2 linked regions of the Kluyveromyces lactis genome follow. The protein of the gene in region 1 interacts with the protein of each later gene in a biochemical or structural test. Links are inferred from orthologs where the notes say so. Each region holds a gene or a part of one and is shown in the gene's direction. Other genes may lie near its edges. The genes, in order: SKN7 and SLN1.

The links.
Region 2: of the proteins of SKN7 (region 1) and SLN1, one has a biochemical effect on the other in vitro, tested with the Saccharomyces cerevisiae proteins (3 studies listed by BioGRID). The link is inferred for Kluyveromyces lactis from reciprocal best matches to the Saccharomyces cerevisiae genes SKN7 and SLN1.

What each region holds. Positions count from the first base shown.
Region 1 is NC_006037.1:895,155-911,337, forward strand, and holds SKN7 (kinase-regulated stress-responsive transcription factor SKN7), read left to right. Parts: upstream 1-1,776; coding exon 1,777-3,204; downstream 3,205-16,183. Other genes in the region: TGL3 (bifunctional triglyceride lipase/lysophosphatidylethanolamine acyltransferase), read left to right, coding at 1-247; Elongator subunit ELP6, read right to left, coding at 264-1,073; SET5 (S-adenosylmethionine-dependent methyltransferase), read right to left, coding at 3,598-5,076; FMP10 (Fmp10p), read left to right, coding at 5,363-6,130; FAU1 (5-formyltetrahydrofolate cyclo-ligase), read right to left, coding at 6,187-7,062; branched-chain-amino-acid transaminase BAT1, read left to right, coding at 7,220-8,443; KLLA0_A10329g (Zn(II)2Cys6 transcription factor), read left to right, coding at 8,719-10,638; KLLA0_A10351g (uncharacterized protein), read right to left, coding at 11,247-11,933; FZF1 (Fzf1p), read right to left, coding at 12,090-12,710; KLLA0_A10395g (epoxide hydrolase), read right to left, coding at 12,943-13,827; and 1 more. UniProt on the Saccharomyces cerevisiae protein: Transcription factor that is part of a SLN1-YPD1-SKN7 two-component regulatory system, which controls gene expression in response to changes in the osmolarity of the extracellular environment.
Region 2 is NC_006037.1:48,306-65,193, reverse strand, and holds SLN1 (histidine kinase), read left to right. Parts: upstream 1-1,348; coding exon 1,349-4,816; downstream 4,817-16,888. Other genes in the region: mitophagy protein ATG32, read left to right, coding at 1-797; RPL40A (ubiquitin-60S ribosomal protein L40 fusion protein), read right to left, coding at 5,089-5,467, 6,007-6,014; MLP2 (Mlp2p), read left to right, coding at 6,644-11,890; MCM10 (Mcm10p), read left to right, coding at 12,113-12,200, 12,284-13,929; KLLA0_A00550g (uncharacterized protein), read right to left, coding at 13,953-15,095; chromatin DNA-binding EKC/KEOPS complex subunit PCC1, read left to right, coding at 15,420-15,454, 15,533-15,761. UniProt on the Saccharomyces cerevisiae protein: Histidine kinase that acts as an osmosensor at the plasma membrane.

The sequences.
Region 1 (16,183 bases):
ATCCAACTGGATCAAACGGATTGCCATTGATGAAAAGACTCCACGAAGTGCGACGGAAGTAGCCATTGTGCCTCACATGAACTCGTTAAGCGTGTCACGGATCATTGAGGGACGATTGGATAATATAAACTATTGGATGAAATGTGGTCAGGAGAGCACATGGCCTGTCATTTCATTGGTAAAAACCCGCTGTGCAGTTGAGTTCACATTAGACGACATTATTAAAGGATTTAAGAAGAGTATATAGTATTTATTCATGTACATCATCTGTAAAATAGTGTTGTATTTTCCTTCAAGTCATGGAACAAATACTGGTTTTCCACAACGTGTAGTGCAGGAATATCCAGCAAGGCACCACCACGGGTTATAGCCAACGTTCCGGTCACGTCTTTGGCCTTACCGGTGTCCAAGGGTCTCACCGACAGTACTAGGAAACTTTTATGGAAACATGAAGTGGTAAACCTTACAAACTCGACGGTATCCTTACCCAGATGTTCTGGGAAATCGTTATCGAAGGACTCCACAGAGTTGACGACTATAAGTAAGGAACATAGTTTAAGTAAAGGGTTGATCAATTTCAAATGCAACTCGTCACTGTTCAACTTGAAGAGTGCCATTAAAATTTCCGGTTTTTCCAATATTACCACTGAAGGACTGTTGGATAACGACTCTTCAAACTGCTTCAAAACCCATTCAATAACTACATCCACAGGTTTACCTACGTTTTTGACAACAAGATCCTCTGCTATTTGTAAGACGTTGTATCTATTCCGTGGTACCTTCAACCTGTCAAATGCAGTTGTAAAATACGATTGATGGTTCAAAAACGATCCGACTACCACTTTCACGGGATCACTGCTGCTCAAACCGCTATTGGATCCACTGTTATTCCCATTTAAAGAGACGGGCCCACCTAAAGTGACCGTTTCCACAAGTGCGTTGACAAACCAGGATGCATTCGTCGCTACCGTATCTGTCACCAAAACCAAATTGGATGACGAATCTGTGAATAGATGCCTGGAAAGCACAGAATGGTCACTAAAAATCTGAAGCTCCTGTTTTTGCACCGACATATCCCTTGTAATACGTGCTCAAAGAGTTACGAGCAGCTGAATAGAGCCGGTGGTACCAACAAGAAACGTCATCTCATCGCATCGTTTGCTACTATTTCATTTTGAAATTCAACCTGTAAAGTATAAAAAAAAAAAAGACAAAAACTGGGAAACACCAGACACAACAAAACAGCAGAAAAGTAACACTTCCGGTAGTTAACCTCGAACATGGATTACATTACTATGTACCTTATAATCAGGCCTATTTAAATATTTAGTTCTTATTCAAAAATAATAGTTCTACCGGAAGTAAATTACCACTTTCCGTTGCCAAATTCACCGAAATTGCTCGTCTTTTTCTTCTGGGTTCATGAAAAATTGTGTCCAGAAAGGTTTAAAAAAAACACACGAACCGAAATGACGATAACAAACACAACGTCAAACTGTTTAAATAGCAGACGTCTGTGCCTCTTGGTTGTGGTTTATCACGGACTGTATCACTGTTGCCGTTTGTTCGTGTGGCATTTAACCTTCTGAATTGTGTTTCTTTTGTTCCAAGAGTACAGGTTTTCTTTTTAGCGAAGTGATTTTATCTGGGGCTTAGGTTTTACGGGCTTAGTTGTACTTGGTTCACTTTGACACTGACGGTATCAGTAAGAGAGTTTCTGCTGGATTCAGATTCATTCATAGAACAAAGGACGAGCAAAAGAACGGACGAAAAAAAATGGATGATTTAGGTGAACAATTGAGTGAGGGCCATAAAGACGATTACGACAATGGAATTGGCTCTGTGCCTGGAGGGTCTGGTTCCAACGGTAAGGGGAAGAGTCAAAGGACGTCGTTCAATGATTTTGTTAGAAAATTGTTTCTAATATTGGAATCAGAGGAATATACCAGCATTATATCGTGGTCGCCTGATGGTAAGAATTTTATAGTGCTAGACACGAATAAATTTACGACGGATATCTTGCCTAAACACTTCAAGCATTCGAATTTTGCGAGTTTTGTGAGGCAGTTGAACAAGTACGACTTCCATAAAGTCAAGAGGAAGAAGAACGAAGTGTCTGAGGGGATTCAAAACGCGTGGGAATTCAACCATCAGTATTTTAGAAGACACGATGAGGCAGGGTTGGATAACATTCGCAGGAAACCGTCATCACAGAAGAAAATACTGGTGGATGAGAACTCCGTAATAGTGAGGAAACTAGGTGGTGCACCCGGAGACGATGGTGCCTTCATTGCCGGTGACGAAGAAGGTATGACTGCGAAGATGCTTCTGAAAAACACGGTGAACAAGACCAAATTCAACCAATTAAAGCGGAAGGTGGAAGACATGGAAAACCAGGTCCAGTATCTAACAAATGAGAATCATAATATGAAACTGGACCTTCAAAAGATTCAGTCTAAGTACAATATGGCGTTGGAAAGTCTCCTTTCCACTGAATCCTTTAACTCCCAATTAATTTCTAATTTCCAAATTCTTGTCGATGCGTTATCGCAGCAGGGTTTAAAAGTACCCGTAGGTTTATCCTTCGAAAAAGGTAATTCTCGTGCGGATAATAAGTCTCATCAGCAACGTCAAATATCGGACTCAACCGGATCAACACCCAATGCAAATATCCCAGGGCTGTCGGTTAATACTACGTTACAGAAACAGGAACCCATTGAGCTACTTCCGATGGACCAACATCCTGTCTTGCGTCCAGGATTCCACGTTTTACTTGTCGAAGACGATTCTGTTTGTATCCAACTCTGCTCCAAATTCTTAAGAAAATATGGTTGCTCAGTGGAAGTGGTTACTGATGGATTATCTGCCATTTCCACGCTGGAAAAACAGCGATTTGACTTGGTATTGATGGATATTGTTATGCCAAATTTAGATGGTGCTACAGCGACATCCATTGTTAGAAGTTTTGATAATGAAACTCCCATCATTGCCATGACAGGTAACATCGATGATCAGGACTTAGTCACTTACTTACAACACGGTATGAATGATATCCTAGCTAAACCGTTCACAAAAGATGACTTACACTCGATGCTAATACGATACCTCAAAGATCGGATCCCGTTGTCTGAACAAAGACAAAATTCTAATAATGACCCTAAAGCGTATGTAGAGGAACCAATGCTAAAGAAACCGCACATATAAGACAGTTAAGGTATCCTTCATGCTGCTATCAAAAAAAAAGATAAAAAGAGAAATGGGCCAGAAAACAGGACACTTCATTTCACTTCAAGAACTCTTGTTTGTTTTCTTTCTCCATTATTTTAAACACCAAAAAAGTCCTCTTTTATTATACGTTTGGTCTGTGCTTTTTCGGTTATTAATTCTATTCTGTACTTCCTATTATTGATGGTACATCGATCAAAAGTACGGTAAAGTTGTATCTATATCCTTCTTATTACTTATAAAATTATTGGTTTTAGTAATTATCTTTCAATCTTCGTCTCGTTGGATCTTTTATGACGTTGACAGATGAGTATATTTGTGTATACGTACAGGTATATTATGTATGCTCATTCGAGTATGATAAGCAGAGTTTTATTCTTCTTCGACGGCCAGTGTGACATGGCTATTGAATCGCACAGACATTCTTCTCTTGGAATTGACATCGGATGGGATTTCTAGATCGAACTCATCACCGTTTTCTAAAAGTTCCTTGAGACTTGGTCTGCAACTTTTCATTGAGGATTTCCTCCTTGCTGTGGTAGATGAATGTGCAGCCTCTGATGATATAGCGTGGTTAGACGGGTCACTGACTATCTTTTGGCGTTTCTCCCATTCTTGACAACAACGAGGACAATGACAGAGGAATCCATAATTAACCCTTAGTTCTCTTCTTCTCAAGGTGACACCATGCAATGGATTCACGTAAGTTAAACGCAACTGTTCCCCCTTCTTGATATCCTTTCTAGCGTATAATTTAATCCCATGTTTTGGTTCCAATTCGTACCTTACATTAGGTTCACAGCTATGATTAATATGAGCCACTAAAGGGTAAACTTGACCCATAATTTGGTTCAAATTGAAGGTGCCTGTGAGGTTTAAGAAATCTTCATAGTCCATATCACATTTGGGGAAAGATTTGGCGAACATTTCAAACGCATCGGACCATTGTGTCTCCATATTCGGTGCTGAGACATCCGCATACAGCTTACCGTTACATGACGCATCAAAAGTACCACCAACATTGATGGAATCAGAAGCTTGCCAGCGTACTCTCTGACTAACAGAACACAAGGATGTGAAGAGTTTCCACAAATTGGATGTTGGCTGCATCACATGCCTTGCATAGATGACACCAACGGCATATGCGGCAACAAGACTTTCTTGTAAACAGAAATTCTCGAACTTGATCCAATTGGAGCTATTGCATAATGAGTTTCTAGAAGTGGCATGTTTCAATACGGAATGGGTAGTGTCTAGTTTCTTGCACTGCTTCGAGCACCAGATGGTGTTACACATGTTACAATCCAAATTGTTCTTGATGATCAATTGTGATGACAATGTGGTGAAAGCAGAGCACAAACCACAACATTTACCTCTACTTACCAAAGGCTGCTTGTCCAATTGCGGAATCACAGTCAATGGTAACTGTTCATGGAAGACCAATCCACCTTTCCTAATATCATCGGTGGCTACTAATCCTTTCCCAAACTCAGTATCAGCAATGGTAACTTTATCCAACAATTTTTTATTCAACTGGGCAATATCAGCATCCGTAACGGTACTGGGTCTGATGTCGCCAGTATAACTGTCCAATTCGTTCAACTCTGGAGTGTACAATTTATGCGATTTCAATGCTTGGTATAATTCATCTTTGGTTACTGACCAATTGGAGCGTCGTCGGATCAAATGTTCGTACAACGTATCTATCAGCATATCTTCGGCAGCCGGTTCTTCCTTCCACCAACGGACCACTTCATCGCAGAGCTGGGTTCGGCTAGGAGTGATCAAGCTGGACCCGGTGCTCTGATCTTCATCGTTCAACCGAAGTGTCTCTAGCTTCAAATGAACCATCACTTCAGGCCAAGGAAATTAACAGGGGAATTATGGTTGTGGATTTACTAGTATTGTTAGATGCTCCTACAGAGTTTTCCTAGCAGCGGGGGGCTAGATCCCTCTTTGCCACTTCTCTATCTCCATCTTTCATTCGCTCCACAGTAAGCATGAAAAGCTAAACAGAATTTAAAGGATTCTTAACTAGACAAACCTTTAAACCAATGACTATACTCCGTTCATGAGAGAAGCACATCTATAAGGGCGTATATAAGACTTAAAACACCTGCAAGAAAACGAGAAACAGATGTTCAGAATTATTAGAGATCCGCTGTTAAGGAACACTATCCGTAGGGCTTCTACGGACGCTACAAGTGAGAGCATTGCTGCAGCAGCAAGACAAGCCAAATTCGTTGTAAAGAAACCCTCATCGAACCGGAAATGGACCAATGTGCTGATCTTCGGTACATGTTTCGGGATAGGTTGGTTTACAACACAACATCTGACACTTACTGATATCATGGCATGGTGGTTCTACGGGAAGTTACCGGATACCGACTCCAAGCTAATCGATTACAGAGATGAGTTAAACCAAAGATGTGACAATTTATCGATAGTGAAGCAGCTTCTCTCCAAGGGGTACGTTGCCGTGTACAAGCAGCCGGACGCAGACGCGACGAATACGTTGATTGACAAGACCTTGCGTGCCCCCGGTGCCATCTGTATACCACCAAGAATCTATTACAATCCAACGACCAAGGATACCGTGTCAGTGTACCATTTAGGAATGAAACTAACCGGGTATCCGTTCTTGGTTCACGGTGGTATACTAGCTACTGTTCTTGAAGACACTATGAGAGACTCTGTAAAGCTAGTGACTGGCAAATCAGCCGAAGTGACGCAACGGTTGAAGTTAAACTACTCTTTCCCCACATTGGCCAACCAATTCGTTGTCGTTAGAAGGACCAAATGGGAGCAAAAGGGCAAGAACGACGTCGAAATAGAAGCCGAGTTGTTGGACCAGTCGGGTAGAAGACCTCTAGTAAGAGGTAAAGCCAATTTCAAGTTGAATTAGATTATTTTACCCACAAAGTACATACATTATTATAATTTTAACTACACATCACTGCTCTATGTATACCATTTCACGGTACCGTCACCACAAACCAAACAATCCACAGTGTAATCATGTTGTTCCAAGGGAACGTCGTCCACCAACTGTTCCTCGAGGGCTAATCCGACTAGCAACGGCTTTTTCCCAGTGTAATGGATGTGTCTTGAGATATAATCATCGTAATAACCTGCACCATGGCCCATTCTAGCCCCGTTCTTCTTACAGAACGCAACGCCGGGCATCAGGATAACTTCTAATGCTGGCGTGGGCAATGGTTCAGGGTCAGTTCGTACAGGTTCTCTTAGCTTGTACTTGCCCTGAGGTTGCAACGCCTGTACCTGAGCCAACGAATCGAAACGGTAAAACACAAGATGTGGCCGTTTCAATGCACCATCCTGTCTCAAGTCAACCTGTTTCGATACACTAGTGGACGAACACCGGGGCAAGTAAACGGTTTTCCCCTGTTTGAACAGAGACTCTACCAATGGTTCGGTCTTCATCTCGCTATGGTCCATGTTCAAGAAACATGCAATGTGAGTGAAACCCTTGGCGTTGACAAGTGACAATGCATGACGGGACACAATTTCAGATTGGCGTGCCAATTCAGCCTGCGAAAGGCCTCTCAACATGGCTTTCACCTGCGTTCTCAATACCTGTTTCTGAGAGATCATCGCACTATCTTGGTGAGTCATGCATGTGCAGCGAACCTGAGCGAAGATTACCGAAGCAAAGTCTGAACCAAGTACAAGTGGAATTGAAACTTGTGAGTCAATCACTGGAAACACTAAGCAACAGAATACCGGCTTGTAGGAAATGCAACCGGCAATCTGCCCTCGGCAACAGGTGGGATGCCTGGTTCCTGTCTCTCGAGACCATTTTTCGATAATACGCATAGACTGAGGTGAAAAAAAAAAGTTTCAACCAACTGATGACATGTATATAAGAGGCAGATAAGAAGGGCATTTGTCTTGTTTCTGTTCTTGTTTGGCCCGTTATTGTCACCATCTGTATCATTTGTCCTAGCTATTTCATCCCTGGCAAGGAACATTCATGAACTACATTGGACTACGGAATTGTGCAAGAGCTGTTTCCAGCAGAGTTTCCATTCCATCAAGAGGTATTAAGAGTCATATTTTAACAAGTTATAGAGCCATGTCCTTAGACGCATCCAAGGTTAAAATCACCAAGGTCGAAACCCCATCGAAGCCACGTCCAAACGATGAGTTGGTTTTCGGTCAAACTTTCACTGACCATATGTTAACCATCGAATGGACAGCTGAAAACGGTTGGGGTGTCCCAGAGATTAAACCATACGGGAACTTGTCGTTAGATCCATCCTCGTGTGTGTTCCACTATGCTTTCGAATTGTTCGAAGGTTTGAAGGCGTACAGAACCCCAGACAACAAGATCAGCATGTTCCGTGCTGATAAGAATATGGAACGTATGAACAAGTCAGCAGCCAGAATCTGTTTGCCATCTTTTAATTCGGATGAGTTGATCAAGTTGATCGGTAAGTTGATCGAACAAGACAAGCATTTGGTGCCTCAAGGTCAAGGTTACTCCTTGTACATCAGACCTACAATGATTGGTACTACTAACGGATTGGGTGTTGGTACTCCAGACAGAGCTTTGTTGTATGTGATCACATCTCCAGTGGGACCATATTACAAGACTGGGTTCAAAGCCGTGAGATTGGAAGCTACGGATTATGCTACTAGAGCTTGGCCAGGTGGTGTTGGTGACAAGAAGCTTGGTGCCAACTACGCACCATGTATCTTGCCTCAATTGCAAGCTGCTGAACGTGGTTACCAACAAAACTTGTGGTTGTTCGGTCCAGAAAAGAACATCACTGAAGTCGGTACTATGAACGTCTTCTTCGTGTTCAAGGACTCCAAGACCGGCAAGAAGGAATTGGTTACTGCTCCATTGGACGGTACCATTTTGGAAGGTGTCACTAGAGACTCTATTCTACAATTGGCCAGAGAAAACTTGAACTCTGACGAGTGGATCGTCTCTGAACGTTACTACACTATCACCGAAGTGGAAGAAAGAGCTGCCAAGGGCGAATTGGTCGAAGCGTTCGGTTCCGGTACCGCTGCTGTCGTGTCTCCAATCAAGGAAATCGGCTGGAACGGTCACGATATCCAAGTGCCATTGTTGCCTGGTGAACAATGTGGTCCATTGACCAAGCAAGTGGCTGAATGGATTGCCGATATCCAATATGGCAGAAAAGAACACAAGGGATGGTCCCGTATCGTTGCTGACTTGAACTAAATAACCTAAATACAACCTACCGTGATTATGTGTCACTAGCAACTATGTAGCACGGATCAGGTAGCTCAAATAGTTTCTCTATTCCCTCTTATAAACTGTTCTCTCTTTAAAGCTTCATTATTTCCTTATCTATAGTCATTATTTTAAAGGAAAAGCTTTGAAATGAATCATCATTTCTTCTACAATACCAATAAGACAAAGGGTAAAGTGGTAAAGACCGTGTCCTGTATTCAGCCATTGATTATTGCCTTGCTCCTGATGGTATTGTTGAATAAATGGTTGGTACTATAGAGATGAAGAAAGTTGCTAGGTCTTATATGGGATGTCAGAAGTGTAAGAGTTTGAAGAAGAAATGTGATGAGGTGAAACCCCATTGCGGGTACTGTAAGAAGCGAGGCTTCCAATGTGATTATTCGCGTACATTGAAATGGGGCGGTCGTCCGTTTAAGGATAATAGGGTTTCCAAGAAGATGAAGTTTGAGCATACTTATGTTGTCGAGGGAATATGTGCGGTGGATTTGAACGCTGCCACTGGGAAACAGGCCACCAAAGTCAAGAAGAACAAGAAGATGATAACCAAGAAAACTGTGGTGGTAAAGGAGGAGGAACCAGTTCAGGAGAAGCAGCTACAAGAGCTGGTGCAGGAGCTGGAGAAACCGCCTTTATCGGAGCCTGTGATTGAGATAGAGAGAGTGGAGGAAGAGGGTAATTCTCCACAGCGGGTCAATATGGCTCTTGTTTCGTCCACACCACTGTCTCCTCTTTCTCTGTCTCTGTTCGATGGGTCCAAGGATGAATTGGACGATAGTATCGCCGGCAGCCAGCGGATCGGTGGTTTTCACAACGATGATGACGATCTTGTGCAAAGCCTAGATCTTGAATTCTTTATGCCTTCTATTTCACTTCCAAGCTTGATGATTCCTGATCTCCTACTGCAGTCACCAGAGATGGCAGAATCGTTTGATTTCTTTGTGAACCAGACTTCAAAATTGTTGGTTCCTGCCCCAAGCTCAATTTATACCCGTAACCCATTCTTCAATTTCTTACCCCGCATGGCTATGAGTAACACCGCATTAATGAACTTGTTGTTGGTGTTTGGAGCCAACCATAAGCATAAGATTCTACAATACCAGGAGTTATCAAATGGAGATTCCTCTTTGGTGGCTAATGACTTGTTGATTAATACTTTCACCAACCTTATGGGTCAGTTAACCAATTTTGATTCAAGAAATAGTGATTCAACCTTGGCTACCATTCTATTGTTAGCTGCTTTCGACATCTTCTTTGGTGATAAGAAACAAAAATGGAGAACGCATGTTTATGGCGCAAGGAAAATCATGAAGGAAAGGATTTCTAACGATACAGGATCAGTAATGTTGTCTAATAACAGTGCAGATGTGGAACAAGAGTATTTCCTTTTAAGATGGTTTGCTTATACTGACATCATTTCGTCTTTATCTTCAACGAATTCAATTAACAATATTCATAAACTTACCACTTTGCGGTACGAAATGGAAACCACTATTAAGGACAGCTTGATGCAGAAGATGATGTTATTAAAAGATATCGAGTACTTCACAGGAATGGAAGTAATATGCCTATGGTTGTTAGCTGAGATTTCTCGTCTGGTTAACGAGAAAGAAACTGCTACTAACAATATATTCCCACAGGATCTTATTTTGAGAGCTTTGGAACTCGATCATAAGATGGTTTCATATTTAAAGGCCAGCGAATTGAAGAGAAACGAGATATTTCAGTCATATTATCTTTCCAAGACTGACGCAATCACAACGGAAAGCTATGGTGCGTATAGAATTCTTCGGGCCACGAACCAGATATTTTCCCTTACAGGTGTGTTACAGTTGAAACGTAGAGTGTTGGGTCTCCCTCCGTCTAGTCCAATAGTGATAGAACTAGTGAAAAATATCACTGAATTGATAGAAACATGGATTGAGTTTGGCTCTTCTGCTGAGACATGTATTATATTTTGTATTTTCAGTTGTGGATGTGAATTGATGGCTCCTGAATTACATCACTATAGGCCATTGTATCTGCAGCATCTGCTCTCCTTGATTCAAAAGGGTGTATCAAGTGCTGAACAGGCTAGAAATATCGTGGAAGAATGCTGGTCATCAAATAAACAATGGTGGGATATCTTCAAGGAAAAGAGTTTAGATGTTACGTTTGCACTTTGATATCACGAAGGTAAGATGGGTCGGTTTCAACCAATAAGAGGTCCGACCAAGATAGTGAACGCCAAGATTTATGGTTTTCTTATAATGATTAATAACTTTCTCTCGTCCGCCTTACCTGAAACCAATGAAATGTCTTAATTCACCGATAACTTGATAATATAGCAAAACAATATAATCATTACTATTCAGCCAATGACTACAGCAGCTCTAAACAATGAGGAAATTATATATGTCCTTCTTTTCACTTCTGCATCAGGTTTCAATTAGATGAGCTAATTGTCTGAGAAAAAGTTCTTATGCACCGCCTCATAGTAAATATATCATTCTAAACAGTTTAAATTCTTTTTATAAGCTTCATTGGATCTGTATTAGCGATACTAGGTATGCCATCTAAGATTATTGAGTTGAATCATCATAGAATGTGAAAGTTGCATTGGAGTTACGTACTTTTAAGATACCATGTTATTTTGAGAATTGACACTTGTACTTTAAGTTACTCTGTAACGCTATTTGGAAGCTGGATTCCTGAAATGGTGTTGCCTGAATATATGACTCTCCAGTATCAGTGAACTTAAGGCAGTATTACACAGGCATTAATTTTAATCATATTACAATTTTGTCACTAAGTGGAAATAGAACATGTCTTCAAAGGTAACAAATTCAGGTTCTCCCAACTGGACAACAGGACAATCTCTGTCCAGAATGCAATGTAAATTTCCAAGGTGTGAGTTCAATTCCTCCACTTCAGAATCTTTTAGCTCTTCATTGATGTAGGCCAATGTGATATGAAACTTTATAGAATCATGAGATGGATCTTCAAGACCAGTCAATGCAGAGATGGAATCCCTGAGCTGTTTGATGGCTGTCTCTTGGGAAGTATTCGATGGTTTTACAATTACATTAATGGACCGAGGCTTACTCGAAGGCAGTTCGTCTTTCGGTGGTATATGGACCTTCAGTTCAACACCGCTTGGATTAGTTCCCTGGTCTCTAAAATTGGCATCTTTGAACAATTGTGCAAGATGGTTATGACACTCTGAAATGCTTGCATCAGCACCAAGCCCCGTAGGCCAATGACCGACTGACCTATCGTGTTCGTGGCAGCAATTCATGATTGTAACATGGTAACTGGAAGGTGGAAGCAGGGTGATCTTGTCATAGAACGATAGTCGTTTAGCGAACCTGTAAAAGTCCAATAACCTATTAAAGAAATCAGTCTGCTGCGGTATATGGCAAATTATAGTGTTACCATGGAACGTTTTGACCACTCCATTATCGTCAAACTTGAAACTCATGCCTCAATGGGTTGCTAGACTAAAGCGTGCTTCGTCTTTTCTAGATATGACAACGTTAAGGAAATGTTGAGTTTTAAGGTTCTATTGTCCGAAATATTATTATCTGACCTATACAGAAGAGGATAATGGACGTGATATACTGGCACTTAGTTATGGTTACTCAAGATCCGTGTATAATCCGTCTGCAGAATACTCTGATGATGATGTATTTATATTTTCTTCGAACGAGTATTTTAGCAAAGATTCCGGTATATATATATGATACTCATCGTAGTGTTCTAGTAGTTCCAGGCTGGATTGAAAAGAAGGATACCCACTACAGCTGCTATCCTGGCATTGCAAGTTATCCCAATGTGGAGGGGTTTGTAACGGTGGGTTCTGGTCGAGAATTTCGTGGATAAGGTGTAGTTCTAATACATGTTCGTTCAATGCCTCTTTTGAGGGAGCATTAAATGGACAGCCGTAATATCCACATTGGTAAGTCGAAGTGTCGTCTTGATTCTGCGTATGCGTCTGCTGATGTCTCTGAAACTGCTGTTTAGTGGCAAATCCCTTACCGCACACACTACAGTTGTATGGTTTGACCTTGGAATGGCTGAGCATATGTACTCTTAGATGTGAGGGCCTTAGAAACGCTTTATCACATCCAGGTTCAGGACAATGGAACGGTTTCTCATTTGTATGAGACCTTACGTGCTGTCGAAGCAAGCAGGGCCTCGAGTATTTCTTACCACATGATTCTATGGGACAGACGTATCGTTTGGGTCTTTTCTCCATGATGATTTTGGTGTTCTTGGGGATTCTTGTTGGCACTTTACCATCTTATTAATAAAGTTACATCGCCCTATATATATATACTCTAAATCAAAAAACCATTCTGAAAAGGAATGTAGCAGGACCAGAAACTATCATCACTGTGCAGCTCTCAGTCTCTCCATTAACTGAAATTTTGTGCTTAGTTGTCTCTATGCTTTCTTCTTCATCGCGCAAGGTTTAATCAATTATAAACTTATAAAGCTATATTGTCATGGAGGAATGTATTAATGTCATGGGCAATATCCTGGACGTGAGTTTCCAAAGCAAAGTGTCCAGAGTCCAAAAGGGTCAACTTGAATTTTTGGGCATGTTTGCCAAAAGCCTCGGCTCCTTCTGGAGTAAAGATGTAATCGTTTTTACCCCAAGCTGCCAAGACAGGTATCCGATGAGCTTTTAAAAACTCGTGAATTGCAGGATAAATGGTCAAATTGTTCTGGTAATCGTGAAACAACTTCAATTGAATGTCAGTTTGGCCTGGCCTTTGTAACAAAGCAAAATCAAGGGTATATGCAGCTGGTTCTATAGCTGTTTTGTCCTTAACACCAATGAAATATTGGTCATCGACATTCTTTCTATCAGCTATAAACTGAGAAAGTGGCTTAACAAATACTGGATCAGTTTGGGTAGTCTGCCAGTACTTTTTGATAAAACCCCAGAATTCATCTCCAAGTGCCTCTTCGTATGCGTTGCCGTTCTGAGTAACAATACCTGTGATGGAAGAGGGATCCTTCAACGCTAAACGGAATCCGACTGGAGACCCATAATCAAAGACGTAGATGGCAAACCTAGTAACATTGATCTCTTTCAAAAACTCTCTGACCGTGGCAGCCAAGTTATCGAAGGAGTAATGGTAGTCTTCTGGAACTTCTGTGAATCCGAACCCTGGGAGATCAGGTGCAATGACATGAAATTTATCAGAAATCAATGGGATCAAGTGACGAAACATAGTTGAAGAAGTGGGATATCCATGCAACAAGACAATTGATGGATTAGATTTATCACCTGCTTCCCTATACCAAACCTTGGTGTTGTTTGAAAGGGTTGCTGTGTGGAATGTCTGGATACGAGAGTCGGTCATTCTTAGTAATACCTTAAATTGGGATTAGTTGCTCTGCTGATGATAGTAGGTGTCAAGGACCGGTAGTAATTATGTGATGGCAATTACCCAATTTTACCGTGTGTCATCGGAATGGTCCCACAGTTCTTTGTTGTTCCTTTTATATATTTAAACCTTGTAAGCACTTTTCATTGTTCTACCTAATCTTTGATAAGAGCCCATTACCGGGATCCTATCAATGAAATGTTACTGGGACATGTTCAACATCAATACTAGGGGAAAAGACAACGTAGCAAGTAGTAAATCCTGCAGTTCTACTGTAAAGAGTGGAGCTTATTCAGAAGTCTGTCTAAATGACTGATGTCTTTGGGGTCTCCAAACATCAGTATTTCTTGTAACAGTGTGCACGGTATCCTTAATGAGTTGCTGTATAGCTTCTCCATCTACCAAGTAAATACAGGATTCGCAGGTAGATAGATTCAAACGCCATACTGTGTAGAAATAGACCTTAATTGAGGTTAAGTTGACATAGAATTGATTCGCTCTCGAGTGTGACATTTCATGCATATCATAAACCCTTCACTCTGTTCGTCCAATCAAGGGTCCAGATGGCCATAATTTTGAATACAGTAAAAGTCCCGATACCATTGAAGATTCCAGTAATCATTCCCCAGGTTGCACTGAAATTACAAATACCAGTCTCGTTCGTTAGTTTATGTTTTGTAGCTGCTTTTGACGACTTCAAAAGTCATTTTATTCTGCATGTTTGAGTCTCTTAAGTTGGAATTGAATTAAAATGTTGTAGACTACGATCAATTCATCAAGTCAGGATTTTAAGGCAGCTGGGACTGGAATCAAGAGCAGTACTTAAACACTTATTCAACTTCTATAATAGACATTTACTGGCTGTCGAAAAGAAAGTACCCGACCTATAGCAATGGATCTGCCCTTATTGTCAGATCCATCCATTAAAAGGATTCAGTTGTTCCAAGGTGTCAGAAACCAACTAGTGAGGCTTTTCCAGCACAATGAAAGGTAGTAGCGCAGCATCATAGAAACTACATGGTAAACTGCTAATAACCACTCGCTGATGGTATCAAGAAGTCAATTTAGTTTTGATAAAATTCGTTTTAGAACTGTTGTTAAATATAAATTAAAACTGCATAACATAAGCTTTTAACATAAGAGGAACTCAAAAACAAAGCAGGCGACCAATAAGGTCGGGAGCCATATACAGTCCTTTCCTGTTTGGAAACCTGCAAGGGCCGTAGAAGAAGTTGGGGGTATTTAAAATAGTCTGTGAGTTTTGTTAATGTTTGAGATCACACTTCAAACATGTTCACAATAATTGATGGAAACACACAATTGGAATCAAAAGGGTATCGATCAATCAACGTAGAATTGGTTCACCTTCAAACTCTCGATTTCATAAACATCGTCAACACCTGACTTCACAATAATGGAGCCGATGTTGTTACCTGTGGAGAAGAAGAAAGTGTTAGTGGAAGTGACAGTACCGTTATTGAAGTAAAGTTCGATAATGTTTCTGTCAACGATACCATAAACATCGAAGGTGCTAGAATTACTAGAAGGTGGATTGCTAACTGAGAGTCTTTGAGTGAAGAATGGGTTCTCTTGAACGAATGGGATGTTGGAATGACCACGGTCCAAGAAGAATTGCTTGGAATTAGCTTCGTAGCCTAATCTCAAGTATTCGTCGCTGTCCTTGTCACCTTGGAAGTATAAGGATAAATCGGTGAAGACCCAGTTATGGATTCCAGTGAAATTGACGGAATACTCAAGAGAGAATTCGAATACACCGGTAGGGTCTTCAAACTCAAGCACTTCGTGAGATGAAGAGTTCAACGTCAAGTTTTCAAGGGTGTATGAAGTACCGTTCTTTCTCAGACTAGTGAAGTCAAGCACAGGTTGACTGTTCAATACCAACGCAGTTGTGTTTGAATTAATATTGTATTCAGTAATGGTGAAGTTCCTGACCAAACTCATAGATGAACGCCATGGGTCGGTAGGTACTTGGTTAGCGTATTGCCAATTAGAAGCCCAAGCAATACCCAAGACGTCTACTTCATTTGGAGTATTGAAGAAGGTTTGTAGAGCATAATAATCTTTACCCAAGTCAAGGAATCTAGTTTGCTTGTCGAGTGGTTCGAAGTGAGTACCGTTGAAGTCACCGATGAAGTATTCAGTACCAGAACCACCCAAGATAGAGCCAGGGTTAAAGGAAACAATCATGACCCATGCGTACCCGACTTCTTCCAATTGAGAAGTTTCGTCAACTAATGTAGAATTTGACAAAGTAATGTTCAATGGGACAGAAGAGGCATTCCATGCTATAGAAGAGGAGTTGGAGAATGAT
Region 2 (16,888 bases), about 830 kb from region 1:
GGTATCACCGACTAATGTTTGACGTCGGAAAACTCAACGAAGCTTCAAAAGAGGAAGCATTGAAATATACTGCTTTCATGATAATCTTTTCAGATTCAAAGAAAGTGACTACAATCCTAAATAGAATGTGGAAGAAATACGGAGATTTCACTTTGATTCCAATATGTCAAAAGGGTCAGAAGCAAAGCGTCACGGAAAAGGTCAAAACATTTGCTAACTCTAACAAAATAAAATTGATGTCGTACCCTGTGGTAATATCCGATCATTACGAGATACACGGGTTGTTGCGGCATTTGCACTCTCTATACGTTGAAGTAGATTCTGACTATGAGACGGATATACCTAAAAAAACTAAACCAAGAAAAGGTGCAAAAAAGAAGCCGGCCCCTCATCTTGCAAAAAGATGGTGGTTTTGGCCAATATCTATAGCGCTTGGCGTTGGGATTGGGTGTTGCGTCACCTTTTATTTCAGCAAGTTCGAGACTTCCTCGTATAATTCATCAGTTGGGGTTATTCAGACAGCAGATAAGGAGATCGATGCTATTGTTGACGCTATAGAAGGAAATTCACCGTCAATACTTGAGGAAAGCTCTCCGCAGTCAATTTCTGATTTCTTGGGTCAAGTGTGCAAATTAGTTAAGGATACTGCTATCCAGATCAATGAATTATTAAAGCAGTTTCTTTCGGCTCATTTAATGACGTCTGCTTGGATTCAATCCATTGGTAAAGAATTCATGCAACCTGACTCGCAGAGTACCATTTCAAAAGTCACTGCTTTGGATTTAGTGATGTTTTGAACCGGGGTACGTTTATATGCTGCAATTTGGTGTATGTAGTGATGTAACTAGATGTTGTTTTTTTCAAAAGTATGAATTGTTGCCCAACTTTTGTTTTCAGATTGAGCCTTCAATATACAATTTTAGTCCCTAAATGTCAATAGCACAATATTCAATTCTGAGACTTTATTTCAATCTGTTTTTATTCCCAAGGTTTCTCATTTAGTGATTTGTCTCAACTAAGTATCCCAGTTCATATAGGCTATCACAATCTATGTCACTTTAGACAGGATACTTTTTGATAAGTTGTGTATTTTATTTTTGTTTACTGTACAGGCTTGTGACATTTTTCAAGGTTTAAACCCTTACTTTATGTTAGTAAAAGATCCTCATTCACAAAATGAAAAACTTAGATGAATTAAAAGAAAACAAAGATCAAAGTTTAAGAAGTTCATTGGTTCTTGATAGGAGACGTCATGAGGGGATTGTAAATTGTCTGTCATTAATACCAACCTAACCTGTATTCCAGACTTCAACCTCGTATGCTAACTATCGGACGATAATAATTCACGATGTTGGCAGGCTTAAAGAGACGTTGCAGTCTTAAAGCTCTTCGGGAACGGTTTACACCGCCGTTTAATGTTGGTTTACGAACCCAACTTATTATTCTCGTGTGCTCTATTTGCGTTTTATCGTTAACAATCATTACGGTTACTACTGGGGTTTATTTCACAACGAACTACAAATCCGTACGAGCTGAAAGATTACAGGTTGCAGCACAATTAAAATCATCACAAGTTGATCAGAACTTGAATTATTTATACTATCAAATATATTGGTTGTCTACAAGAGACACATTACAAGATGCGTTAGTCAATTTTAGAGCTGGTAATTCATCTAGAGATAATTGGAATTCTGCAGAAGACAGTTTAGAAAAGTTTCTTGGTTCTTCAGGTTTGTTCAGTGCTGCTAGAGTTTATGATACGTCTTTCAACACCGTAATAAACTCCACCAATAATGGGTCTGGTGACAACATTCCGGAAAACGTTTTAGCAGAGCTCTTTCCTCTATCTGGCGTAGAGCCTTTGTCTTCTTCGCTACTAACTACGGGTATCGTTACAGATCCGGTATATAACTGGACAAATTACTTGTTGTCCATGTCATTGCCAGTTTCAACAAATCCATCTATTATTCTGAATACTAACGAAATTGCCGGCTATATTACTGTCATTGCATCGGCGGAAAGTTTAAAGGCTGTTGTAAATGATACAATTGCTTTAGATAAGTCATCCGTATCAATCCTATCTGCTGTTTTCGATAGTAATAGTTCACTGACTGGTTATCATTTCGTTTTCCCTCCGCATGGAACCTCATCATTCAGTTCAAAAGTGACTTTTCCAATTAAGAACGGCACGTTTATAGCTGATGCATTCGAAAATGGGAAAGTTGGTTCAGTTATGAAAACAAATATGGTTCAGGAGAGAAACATAGCAGTAGGGTATTCACCACCAACTTTTAAACTTGTAAATTGGGTGGCCGTTGTTACCCAACCTGAACAAGTATTCTTGTCTCCCACTATACGGCTTATGAAAATCATTGCTGGTACGGTGTGCGCTATTGCCGTATTTATGTGCTTATTGACTTTCCCTATAGCACACTGGGCTGTGCAACCTATAGTCAGACTTCAGAAGGCTACTGAAATCATTACATCTGGGAGAGACTTAAAGCACTATAGCAACACTGGCAATTCAGATTCAAATACTGCAATTACACATTCTAGGACTCGTAGCACATCTAACCAAAACCAGGTGATGAAGCTGTTCAACAAATCTGTCACCAAAGGTACGCCCAGTAATTATCTGAATCACAATTATAATGTTTTCCCTCCAAGTAGAACAGATTCACCAAGCGTTTCCGCAAGAAACTCACAGACTATACCCAGAGGCCCCGGAGACCTGACACGTTCAGCTACTACTGGATCTACCCCATTTTCTAATGATTCTTCTTCATATACCTCCGAACGATATATCAAATCAACCAACCTAGTGGAAGCATATGTCCCAGTATACAGAAGATTTTTTCAAGATGAACTATCAGAACTCACAGATACATTTAACACAATGACAGATGAGCTAGATAGACACTATGCTCTTTTAGAAGAAAGAGTTCGTGCTAGAACAAAACAATTAGAAGCGGCTAAGATTCAGGCCGAGTCTGCAAATGAAGCAAAAACAGTTTTCATTGCCAACATTTCTCATGAATTGAGGACTCCACTAAACGGTATCCTTGGTATGACTGCAATTGCCATGGCAGAAACTGATATGCAAAAAGTGCAGAACAGTTTGAAGTTGATTTTCAGATCAGGTGAATTGTTGTTGCATATTCTAACAGAACTTTTGACTTTCTCTAAGAATGTCTTAAAGAGAACAAAATTGGAGGAACGTGACTTCTCCGTTATGGATATTGCTTTGCAGATTAAATCCATCTTTGGCAAACTAGCAAAAGATCAGCATGTTAAATTGTCCATTGCCCTTACACCAAATTTCATTAGAACTTTGGTATTATGGGGTGATTCAAATAGAATCATTCAAATTGTTATGAATCTAGTCTCAAATGCTCTAAAATTCACACCAGTTGATGGTAAAGTTGATGTTAGGATCAAATTGCTTGGCGAATACGACTCAAAAAGGAGTGAAAGTGTCGATTATCAAGAGGTATTTGTGGTCCCTGGTTCTGAAGCAAATGATGATTTTGAGTTCAATTTAACTTCAACTACTCCCATGAGGCTTCCTTTCAATTCTTCTAGTGGCAGCGTTAATACTGCTACTAAAGATGGATCAACTTCCCCAACAACTAAGACAAAAGAAGGCTCAATTCAAGTCGAATCCGAAACGTCAACGGAGGGCAATGACAACGATGAAAGTAGCATTGTTCTTGAAAGTAAGCACGAAGAAAACGAAGACGAAAAAGAAAAGATGTCAATATTATCTACAAGTACTTCAAGCTCTTACGATGATGCAATTTTCCATTCGCAGTTCAAGAAAGTTCTGTCTTCAACGGATTCAGATACGGAAGAGAATACGTTCAGAGATCTTAAGGTACCAAAGACTTGGGTTATAAGTATGGAAGTGGAAGATACTGGCTCGGGTATTGATCCTTCACTTCAAGAATCTGTTTTTGAACCGTTTGTTCAAGGTGATCAGACGCTCTCTAGACAATACGGTGGAACTGGCTTGGGCTTATCCATTTGTAGGCAGTTGGCAAAGATGATGAAAGGTACAATGAAGTTGGATTCGAAAGTTGGTGTTGGAAGTAAATTTATTTTCACTGTGCCACTACAGCAAACAAAAGAGATAGTATTCGATGGTGCTGAAAAACAGTTTGAAGATGAGTTCAATATTCACAGCAGGAAGAACAGAAAGGTTAAATTTAAAATCAATTCCTCTAGGAAATCTGTTCAAACAAAGAAATCTAAATCTAGTATCGACGGACATAGCGATAACAATGTCAGTGAGAGAAAAGCCAGTAATTCTACTGAAAATAGCGTTGGGAATGTTCGTGTTGATAGACCATTTTTACAAAGTACGGGTACGGCGACCAGTACTAGGAGTATATCATCTGTAGCAAGTGAAGTTACTCGGCATAGAGTTTTGGTTGCTGAAGATAATAATGTCAATCAGGAAGTTATAAAAAGAATGCTTCAGTTAGAAGGACTCACAGATCTTGATATGGCATGTGACGGACAAGAAGCTTATGAGAAAGTTGAAGAAATCTTAAAGAATGGCGAATCCTACTCCATGATATTCATGGATGTTCAAATGCCGAGGGTGGATGGGTTGTTGGCTACCAAAATGATCCGGAATGATCTATTATATAAAGGGCCCATTGTTGCGTTAACCGCATACGCAGATGATAGCAATATTAAAGTTTGTCTAGAAAGTGGAATGGATGGTTTCCTACCAAAACCCATTAAAAGACCATTGTTAAAGAAAATAATCGCACAGTACTGTTCGAAAAAAGAGAAACAGAGAGAAGAATAGATTTGCGAATGTAACATTATATAAAACTTAAAGGTACTCATACACATGTATATTTCCGACCCTTAATACATTCGATGTGTTAAATATCCAGTACAGTGCATTACCGACAGTCACACAAAGCAACGCTCAGGAACGTTCAATGATATTAAACAATGTTAAAGAAGATTTATATTTAAATCAAAATAATAGATCTGTAAAGCTAATATGAAAAAACACATATGATAGTGAATGTGCGTAAATATGTATGTACTCCATAGTGGTAGCAGAATCGACTATTTTAACTTCTTCTTTGGACGCAATTGGTTGGTGTGACCACACTTTCTCTTTCTACAGTTAGTAGCTCTTGGTGGCAATCTAGCGTAACACTTTCTGCAAACGGACTTTTCACAGTTGTACTTAGAAGCCAAAGCCTTTAAAGATGGTTCAATGATACCACCTCTCAATCTCAAAACCAAGTGCAAAGTGGATTCCTTTTGGATGTTGTAGTCAGACAAGGTTCTACCATCTTCCAATTGCTTACCAGCAAAGATCAATCTTTGTTGGTCTGGTGGGATACCTTCCTTGTCTTGAATCTTAGACTTGACATTGTCAATGGTGTCGGAAGATTCGACTTCCAAAGTGATGGTCTTACCAGTCAAGGTCTTGACGAAACTGTTTTCAAAAAGATATGATTTGTTAGTAAAAGTTTGAAACTCGATCAGAACAAAGTTCTTAAGGCAATCTTATTGGGACGATTCCTAGAATTAGTGAACGTTCAAGTTAATTTTGCTAGATTAGTAAAGCTTAATAAAAAACCAAAAAAAATTCCCTCTGTAGGTATGAATTGTTGTGCATTTGATAGTTAGGAGGTGATAGGTCCCATTAAACTGCTTCCTTGTATCCTTATTCATTCTGCAAAGCGTACTTGCTTTCGTTTGAAGAAATCGTGACATATATCTCACTCAACAGTTTAGACCGCGTACTCACACTCTCCGAAATGAAACGCTCAAGTTCTCACAGGATAGCGACTATCATGATATATGTTACACCAAACACAGTAAATCCTTGTCATTTTCATTAGTTGTTATCCGAGTTCGTCTTGTTGTTTTTTAGCTAATGTGCTTTCGTCCCATTTCAAAGTAGCATAAACCGTCTTGAATCACCAAGAAACCCCAAAATAAGATGCCTTTTGCTTATCATATTGTGCATACATTTGCATTTTTGAATCTTGTCCTTTCCTGATCTTTTTGATAGTAATCAACAACTAAGTACAGCTATCTTAAGTGCGTATGATTAAATGATATAATCCAAAATACTTTGAGTATGAATTCTTGCTTGCTTTCCTCAATCTGGGTTTGGTACATAGAAAGTTGGTGAACCTGAGGAATCGACAACGAGCAAAAACGAAGTGATTTCTGCAATTAGAAAATAAAAATACCGTTTTGAGGAATATATGCATTTTTAATTGTCAAGCCCCGAAATTTATACACCCAGACACACTGTTGAATAGTGCACGGATGTTGTTGCAAACCGTCCCAACTTGGAACGTAGAATTTTACTGGTACCGGTTACCCTGATTGTTAGTTTAGATACGACTTCTGTATTTCGTTCTGCAGTCAGTTCGTGGTATCTGGTCGTTATTTTGAATTTCACCGAATTGGACCTAATATTGAAATTGAACAAAAATTACCTGTCAAGAACAAAGCCTATGTGCATTGTATATGCTCATGTATACCTGCAGAAATTTTTAGTATACTTCTAATTGAATATCATAGCGATTAGCTTGAACACTAGGTAAAAGTAGCGTCTTATAGATTGCTATTCCATTGTTGTGTTGTGGAGTTGAGAATGTCCGTAGAACCCATTGCCTCTAGGGTCGCAGACTTTCTACAAGTCGACCAGCAACTGATACAAGACATTAATAATGATGTTTTAGGTAGGATTGAGGAGAAGTTGGAAGATCTTCGGAAACAAAAATCTGAAAACCTAAGAATAACTGCTACCTTGGATCAATTAAAATCTCAATCAGAGAACAAACTAGAATCATTCAAAATTCACATCTCTCAACTAGCCAAGGCATTGGAAGATGGGAAGGATGAGCGCTTACACTTTGAAGAAGAGAAAAGGCGTCTAATTGAAGGAAATTCACAAGTGACCAAAAGAATCATAGAATTGGAACAAGAAATAGAAGTAGAGAGGCAACAAAAAGAACTTGCTGACGCTTCTAAGCAAGATATTGCAGAGTCACTAAACGAAAAAATTGAAGAACTCAGTTCTACCAAAGCTAAATTGAATGAAGCACAGGGAGCGAATAAGGAACTTAGACAAAAAGTCGTCAATACTGAAACTGAGCTACAAACTCAGCAGGCCTTAGAGCTACGTTCGAAAAGCGAGATTTTAAGGATGGAACAAGAAATCACATTATTGAGAGAAAACAATGACTGGTTGACCAATCAGTTAAATACCAAGACCGTACAACTCAATGAGTTTAGAGAAAGCACAATTAGTGAATTACAAGATTCTCAGTTAAAGGTATCGAATATGGAATCAGAGTTGGAAATAGCTCGAACCAGTAATCAGAAACTAAAACAATCGGTACACAGTTTACATGAACAACTGGAGCAAAAACTTTCCGAGAACAAAGAAATTAAAGATGAGTACAATTTCTCTAAACAAGAGCTTACGAAAGAGATGTCTTTAAAGCAGAGAATGATTGATGCTCTAGAGAAACATATGGAATCATTGAAGAAAGAAATGGATGCTACAAAGAATAACATGGACTCATCATATTTCACCGAAAAAGAAAGAGACGAGCTCATTGAAGAGCTCAATGCGGTCAAATATCGTTTAGACGCATCTGAATCTAACTGCATAAAACTTAAGGAGACAATCGATGAATTAACATCCAACATAAAATTAGAAGACTCCGAAGTTGGTAATACCACTGCGTCTTCAGAAAAATCGGTTTCTGTCATACCTAAGTTATATGGTGATTTGGGAATGCTCAAAAAACAGCTGGTTATTGAGAAAAGACAAAAAGACGAGTTAAAAATGCAAGTGGAAGCATTCGTTGTTGAATTAGAGCATAAAATCCCTGTTCTCAATTCCTTCAAAGAGAGAAGTGAAATGCTTGAAAGAGAGTTAAATGAGGTTACTATTTTGTTAGAGTCAACTGGCAAAGACCGTGATCAAAAGTCGTCACAACTTGATTATTTGAAAGCTACTGTGAAAAGCTATGAGACTCAAATAGCCTCCCTATCTAAGCAACGTGTTGACCTTGCCCATCAGATACAGTACTTACTCGTGAACGAATCTATTAAGTCAGAGGATGGCGGACCATTATCCGCTGAAGAATTGCAATTTGTCAAAAATCTAACCAACTCTCAAGAAATAACAAAGACCTCTGACACTCAAGGCATTATAACCGATCGACTAGTAGAATTTAGATCAGTAGTTGAGTTGCAGCAGAAAAACTCCGAACTTCTTTCTACAATTCGCAATCTTGCTGATGAATTAGAACGCAGGGAAGCTGAAAACAAATCTCAAATCCAGGTATTAGAGGATGAAACGGTGAGAGAGGCAAAAGAAACCATTCTTACACTTCATGATCATGCACAGAACCTTGAAAACCAACTAGTCATTCTATCAAAGGAGAGGGACGCATACAAGGCATTGTCAGTAAATGCTAGCTCTGGCACAAACACACCTAAGGCCATTACTTACCCTTCTCCTGATAATGACGATAAAGTGAAGGATCTCGAAACAAGACTCACCGCTGTCATTCAAGAAGCAGAGAATAATGCCAAGGAATGGTCATCAGAAAACAGCAACCTGCGTAAGAAATTATATGAAATATCACTTAATTTCGAATCTGAGAAAACTTCACGTACTCTTGCAGAAGATAGGTTAAATCTATTACAATCAACTTTAGAGCTTTCCAAACGCCAATGTGAGGAGCTACAAAAAAGATCATCTGATCTACAAGATATTTTAACAAAACAGGACAAACGTACACAGGAGACTGTAGATTCCTTAATCAAAACGAAATCCACTTTGTCATCTATACAATCGGAACTATCCATCTTGAAGTCTGAAAAACAGTTTATGGCAAAGGTTCAAAAGGAACTGAAGGCAGAGAACGAAAGATTTTCCAAAGAAAGTGTCGAATACAAGGTGTTAATTGCGCAACTTCAGACACTCCAACGTGAGAGAGAAATGTTACTCAAGGAAACTCAGAATTCTTATAAGGAAAAGCTTAGAAAATTGGAAATTGAGTTGTCTGGTTCACTCGAACGCCTTGAAGAAATTGAAAAAAACACCACAGGAATTGCTAGCAATAAAGAGCATCAATATAATTGGTTTCAAGAAAAGATTGATAAGTTAACTAGTGAGGCAGCTCAACAGAAAACGACCTTAGAAGAAAAAGAAGCTCAACTTCAGAAAATGCAATCCACTATCAATGAACAATCCGCAAAACTCAAGGAGGCCGAGGCACGGGCACAATCATATACGATGTTAAGTAATGTCGATGATGCTCAAAACCTAGTTGAGACTTTGAGACAGGAATTGGAAAAGGTTAACTTGCAACTTTCTGATTCATATTCACAAATAGAGCATCATAAAACTCTGGCGGAACAGTCCGTGCAATCCGTTAATGAAGTAAGCCAGGCCTTTGAAGAGGCCCAGAAGGAATCTCAGAAGACAATAATCACTCTAGAAAACGAAAGAAATCAATTACAGAGTACTGTCAATATTCTCAACGATCAGGTGAAAGACCTGAATAACGAAATTTTCCATCAAAAATCAGAATACCAAACTGAGAGGAACGCAACAATGGAAGAAATCAGTAAGCTTCAGATGGTGAAAGAATCTGTGGATCGAACTAAGGCTGACTACGAAGAAAAAATTGCAATGATTCAGAAAGATCTAGAAATGCAAACGCAATATGCAAATGAGAGTCAACGGAGCTACGAACTTGAATTGCAAAAGCATGCAGATGTCTCTAAAACTATTACGTCCCTAAGAACTGAGGCGCAAAGCTATAAATCTGATCTAGAGACACTTAAAACCCAATCCCAACTGGCTATGGAGAACTTGAAGAATAGCGAAAAATTATGGAATGAACAGAAGACTGAGTACGAAGATAAACTGTCCGTTTTGGAGCAACGAGTCCAAGAACTATCAACCCAAAATAAGCTCCTGTACGACCAAATTGAATTGCTAAACAAGACTGAAGATCGTGACAACTCTCATGATTCAAGTGACTTGTTAATCAGCTTGCGCCGTGAAAGAGACATGCTAGAAACTAAACTAGAAGTTGCATTGAGCGAGCAAACGGTTCTAAAACAACGCCTTGATATAGCAAAATCAGAAATTGAAGATTTGAATACTCAATTATCTCAAGTTAAGAATAGTTCCAGTGAAAGCGCTCATTTGCTAGAGCAGCAAGAAAATATAATGAAAGAACTTGACCAACTGCACTTGTTAAGAGAAAGTAACGTTACACTAAGATCTGAAAATAGTTCATTCAAGAAAGAATGTGACAATCTAAAGTCGCAATTGCAAGAATGTAATGATAGGCTGGCGCCACTACAGTCGTCCATTTCCTCTTTGCAAAATGGTATCAAAATTAAAGAACAGGAACTCATTCAATCGAAAGAAGAAGCAGAACGGTGGAAAAGCCGTTCTCAAGATATCTTACATAAATATGAACGTATTGATCCTGAAGAACATGGTAAACTAAAGGAGGAAATTAACGATGTTAAAAATGAACTGCAAACTACCAAGGATACTTTGCAAAGCGTCATTGCCGAGAAAGATGACTGGGAATCGAAGTTCCAAAGAATTAGGCTTCAAGCACGTGATAGATTGAATGCCTCCAAGGAAAAGGAACAATCTTTATCATCAGAAATAAACCAAATCAATGAAGCTAAATCTCAAGTGGAGGCCGATTTAGGAAAATGTAAGACCGCTTGCAAAGAGTTAGAAGAAAGATTACAAGTGGTAACGCAAGAAGCAGAAACAAAGGAACAGACTTTTAACTCTCAATTATCTAAATTGCAGGAAGATCTACATTCTATTCAGGTTCAAATGGAAAATGCTTCCAAGACCGAACAGAATAATGCAGATTCAGATGAAAAAATAAAATCGTTGACTGAGACTGTGGAAATGTTAAATAGTAAAATACAGGAGCTTGAAGCCGAAGCCTCCAACGCTCAAAAAATAGTAGCTGAACATCATACGCCAGTTATCAACGAAGACACGAAGTCAATAGTGGATAATTTGAAAACAGAATTTGAAGCTGAAAAAGAACAATTAATAAAAGATAAAGAAAAAGAATTGAGGAGCAAGTTTGAGGCAGAAAAAGAATCTGCTTGGAATTCCAGAGAGGAAGAGCTCCGGAAACAGTTTGAAGAAAGAGAAAAGAGAATTCGTGAAGAGTGCGAAAAGACTACTGTCCAGTCTCCTTCGCAGCCTACCTTGGATATAGACATCGATGCTTTGAAGAATGAATGGGAAAAAGAATATGAGAAGCAGACTCTGGAAAAAATTAAATTAGCAGAAGAAGCCCTCAAGAAACGGATCAGGTTACCTACTCAACAAAAGATTGATAAAATAGTTGAGGCAAGAAAAGCTGTTTTAGAAGAGTCCTTTGAAGAAAAGGTAAACGAAAAGGCCCAAAAATTGGCAGGAGAGATCGGAAATGATGCCATTACTCTAGAAAAGCATCGTGCAGAATTGAATGCACTTAAGGATTCCATGCGTAAGCAATTTGAAGCAGATTTGGCAGAAATAAAACAAAAATCTTTCGAAGAAGGGAAACAGCAAGTTTCCTTGAAATTGAAATTTTTGGAAAGCAAGATCAGGAATTTAGAACAACAAAAGTCCACAATTAAACCTGTAGAGAATGACACTTCTAATATGAGTGCAGCATTCCAGGCCCCTGTATTTGGCTCTCATTCAACATTCACTAGTCCCTTCTCAACGTCAGAAATTTCTCCTAATAAGAGACCCATAGACGACACCGCAACAGAACAGCCTGAGAAACGTCACAAAGAGCCTGAAAGTGATACTGAGGATGGTCAGGAAGCCTGATTCTCCAGACGATTTTATGGCTGTTAATATTACCGAAGTTCTATTTAATTTTTTTCTATTATGTATCATTATTTGACCATTCGTTTTCAACATGTAAAAAATACTAGTATTACTTTCCACAGATATTCAAACGAGAAAACAAAATAATGACATCCCACAAGTAAAGAATGAACGAGAATAGTTACAGAAGCTATCGAGTATAGGTAACAGTGAAGATGCATCATGTCATATGATCTAACTGACCCGAGAGAAATTACGGCGTTCGACCCGTACGAGGAATTATCTGATGATGAATCTGAAATCGAAAGAGGTATGTTCTAATAATAATGGTTACCGAGATCAATGACATTAGAATATCCTACTAACATATTATAACCAATCATTAAATCAAAGTGAAACGAAGAATTGTTGAAATTGACACTGAGAAACGAGATTTAACTAACCGGCTGTTGGAACTAGAGAAGAAGAGAAACCTCAAAGACCCTAATTTCGATTCTATCGACGTTCCAGAGTCTCCTAAGAAATCAGATAATGCTACAAAAGGAATAGAGGATATCAAACATATTGCGCCAGTAGCAGATATAGAGGAAGCTACATTTAATGTTAATGAGGATTATGTAAGGGAAAAGGTCAAAAAGTTGGGTACCACTTCTTACTTTACTGAAAAACTTCGCTCCATCAATACAAATGAACATGAAGCGATTAAAAGGAAGAAAGAATTATTGGCACATCGAGTTTACACATTCAATGGCGACATGTTCGATGAATATGAACCAATTACTGTTGATGAAAAAGATGATTTGAGTGGTCTGGTTATAGACAGAAGGTATGTACCGTTGGCCGTACTTAGGAAACATACTAAAAACATAAAAGTGCTTCGACTTCCAAAGCTCTTCAGTAAGGTGAGAGCCCCTAAGTTCTCTGAACCTGATTATCCCAATTGGTTGGTATTGGGTATCATCTCAAAGAAAACTGAACCAAGAATGACAAATTCTGTGAAACCGGTGAAATTCTTCAGCCTAACCATAAGTGATTTCCAATTTGAACTGAATGTTATTTTCTTTGGGAAAAGTATAGTTGAAAAGTATTACAAACTAAGATTAGGTGATTTGATTGCTATACTTAACCCTGAAATAATGCCTTCCAAGAAACTGGAAGCGGGAGCAAGCCCTAGTTACGCTACATTTTCGTTAAAAGTTAGTAAAGACACCAATAATATACTGGAACTAGGTCACAGTAAGGAATTCGGATTGTGCCAATTTTACATGAAGAACAAAGGCAAGCTATGTGGTGCGCCAATAAACAAATTGCATGATAACTACTGTGCATATCATAAAGAGGCAAAAATGAGGCAAAACAGTTCTAGAAGAGTTGAAATTAGTAGCTCTGTGGCAATGAGAGCGCCAGTTGTCAAAGGATATCAACAGACTATTGTAAAATCACAACACAATAATGGTAAAACATCCATAAGATATCAACAAAATCCTGATAAACCGTTTGTACGAGAACCGGCAGCTGCAGAGACCAACAGATTCCTCTTCAGTTCTGCAAATGCCTCTACCGCGTTTTTCGATGACGACTACGAAAATCCTGACATACTGGCCAACCTTGATAACAAAAGACGCAAAATTCAAGAACTCAGAAACAATCGAAACTTGGAGAAAAAGTTAAAGGGTCTATCCGACAAATTGTTGTCAAAGAAGGAAGACCGAGTCAATCAAGAAGCAAAAAAGACTGCGACGTTGAGCATGTTCCAACATGGTTTAGCGAACCAAATTGGTTATGACCCAACAAAAGGGAAAGCGTCTTTAGAGATGCTTGAATATTCTACAGAGAATAAGGCGCCAAAGAATGATAAACAGCTGGCGATAACGGATATTTGCAATATAAAGAAAGATAATGTTAGCCTGAAACCTTCGAAGAAACAATTGAAAGAGAAAATTGAAAAGAGAAACGCTATCTTCAATGAAATAATGAAAGGCAGCCAAGAGCGGCTCGATAAAGATGAAGGCTCAAGTGATGATTTGGAAATTATATAGACAATAATGTAAGGTTTAATATATTATAAAGAATGTAGTACTTTTAATGATGGCTCCGTACAAGTCTCAATTCTTATCGTGGATGGTGGAGTATTCTTTCCCTCTAACTCTAGTAAGTTAAGAAGTTGCCCATCACAGCAAACTTCAAAGTTGCTCTTTTGTGACGGATCGTCTAGTACTTCGACGTTAAAACAAAATGGCAGTGGTCTGTAAAACGTTCCATTCTGTAAGATGTTTGAATGCTTCGTATTTGAATAACCCATAAATACCCTTTTCTGGAATTCTACTCTATCCAGAGAAGACTGGTATGCCAATACATGTAGTTGTGATTCCAATGGATCAGAATCGGGAGATGGCATATAAGTTGGCTCCAGATTTGTGGTATTTATTAACGCAAAATAACTAAAAGATCCTTCCAGAATATCGGGAATAGAGACGCGAGATTCGAGCTTGTATTCTCTTAAAATTCGCTGGCTAGCAACTCTAAACCTTTCAATGCCCATTTTCTGGTACTCATCTTCTTCGCAGAGATGAAGTAAATTTGCATGAAATCCCAGTGACAAAATTATGAAGAATTTAAGGACATAACCGTTGTCAAAAGTTGCCCTATACAACGGGAAATCGTTGCAGGACAACTTACCATTGACAAATTGTGAGAATATGACAGCTGGATCCATCAACTTCAAAGAGCTTGCCCATGCATTTCCTGTACCCATTGGGAATGGAAGCACTGAAATACAGTCGTGGTTCAAGGGCAGGTTATTAACGAATTCTGATATCGATGTATCACCAGAAAGAAAGAGAACAGTGTACTGTCTAGTGCTGTCAATGCTCGAGGCCAGTTCTATGACAGATGACTTGGATGTAGTTTTTATTAGGCGGTAAGGGACAATAACCTGCTCAAAGAATTGTGCTATGACGTTCGTGGCGAAATCGCAGTCTTTATCCCGGCCAGATCCTGAAAACACCGAATCTACGATGAGCAGTTCCCCCGAATATTCAAATTTCTTATTAGCGAGAAGCTTCTCATCATCTAAGAGTTTCGAACCAAGTTGGTACGATTTAGCACCTTCTGCTAAAAGCTTTGTGACAATTGTAAATGAGACACCGTTATATATCCCTAATTCTTGTTTAGTTACGTTAGACTCGTCAGGCATTCTGGCCATGAGAAAATTTTATCCTTGAAGATCGGCCTGCCAATCCTTAGCTGATAATAAATTATCTTCGCACCTGGTACCAGGACGGGCATTTTGATAGTAAGTCAGATATTAAAGACTTAAATCCATGCTTGATCTAAACTACCTTCAAACTTGATGTTCTGTTATTTTTACCCAATTAGAAATCAAAAAAGTCTTCGAAAAACGCATCCGTACTGTGTGTGGTTCATGTTCAGGATGAACTTATTGACTTTGAGATCTTTATGAATGATACACACTTGAAACTTGCTGCAGTAGTGAGTTCAATCAGCGGATAAATAGTACTCTTTTAAGATGAATAAAGGAGACACGTCTTTCGAGCACTCTTTGTATGTTATTTCTGGCTCTTATGAATGCAAGTTTATAACTTGAAATACTAACAAGTTGTGATGTAAAATGCCGTACAGACATTTGGAAATACCATTTGAAAGCATTAAACAAGCTGATGTAGCAAGGAAAGTGCTGCTTCCAGACCCCATCATGAAACCAGAGGATTTCCAAGTTACTTATTCTACGCAAGACACCAAACTTATATGTGATTTTGAAAGCGTTGACGAGCGTATTTTACGTGTAGGTGTGAACAGTGTCATTGAATCAATCAAGACAATCGTAGAAACTATTGATGAGTTGTGCTAATGCAAACAGAACAGTACACGTTCGGGGTGCCTTTTCATCATCTTCCCATCTTTCTATTACTTTCTAACCTATGGTACTATGAAATTTCTTAAGGCAGAAAAACTAAACGCAGAACAATTTGTGTCATTGCATTCGTTATTCATATTATGCAGGAACGAAAGTGAAGAAAAAAGTTAAGGATCAAGCCTAGCAATATTTACCAACAGTGTCATGAAATCCCTAAGTCTATAGCCAAGTTCTACAATAAAGCATCGTACTGATTAGCGACAATTCGTATCCATGCATTAGAATCAAAGAAGACCGTCGTCATGTGAGATGTCGTTACCATTTCGAGTTGTGGAGACACGCAGAGTACATCACCAGCTTTCAGACGAAGAAAAGAAAAATGATTGAGGTAATATGTAAAGGTTTGGCAAACAGATACAAACCGGTCGTAGAACTTTTCCTTTCCCCTTCCGTTTCCAAGCCAACTTATTAATGTATATATACATATGCCTTACTATCAATTTTTTAAATCTTACACAAATAAGCAGTTCAACATGTCGACTGTCTGATAATAATAAACTACGGGCCTATTTCAGTCACTGCGTGAATCATTGGTTTTAGCACCTGAACCCCAAGACTCTGTCAGATTAGTAAGTTTTCGCTTTTAAAAAGATTTATATGTATGCCATTTCTCATCATGTGTATTTTTAATACGTATTTTCGAAGTGGAGTGAAACATTTTTAAATTCCGTCTACTGATTTCTTCACTAGCTGCGGGACCTTAGGTATTTTTCAAAAAAAATCCCATACAGGGATACGAAGACAAGATTAAAAGTAGCTGAGCATAATATCCTGACGCTTTGAAACAGCATACTAGCCCTCCTATAACAAGCTCGGCTTATACGCTGATTTTCAAAGTAGAATCGATTAAAACTTTTGGTGGGTGTATTGTAGAAAGAGTCCAAAAGCTTCAGAAACAAAGAATTGCACACAACTCCTAAAAATTATTTGCTGTTTTTTTTTTTTAACTCTAGTGAGATAAAAATACAAACAAATCATATCAAGTGGTGAAACGGCACGGAGAAGCGACTAAATCCCCTGGCCTAGTTGTTAACTGTACACTCTGTTGTGCGTTACTCCTT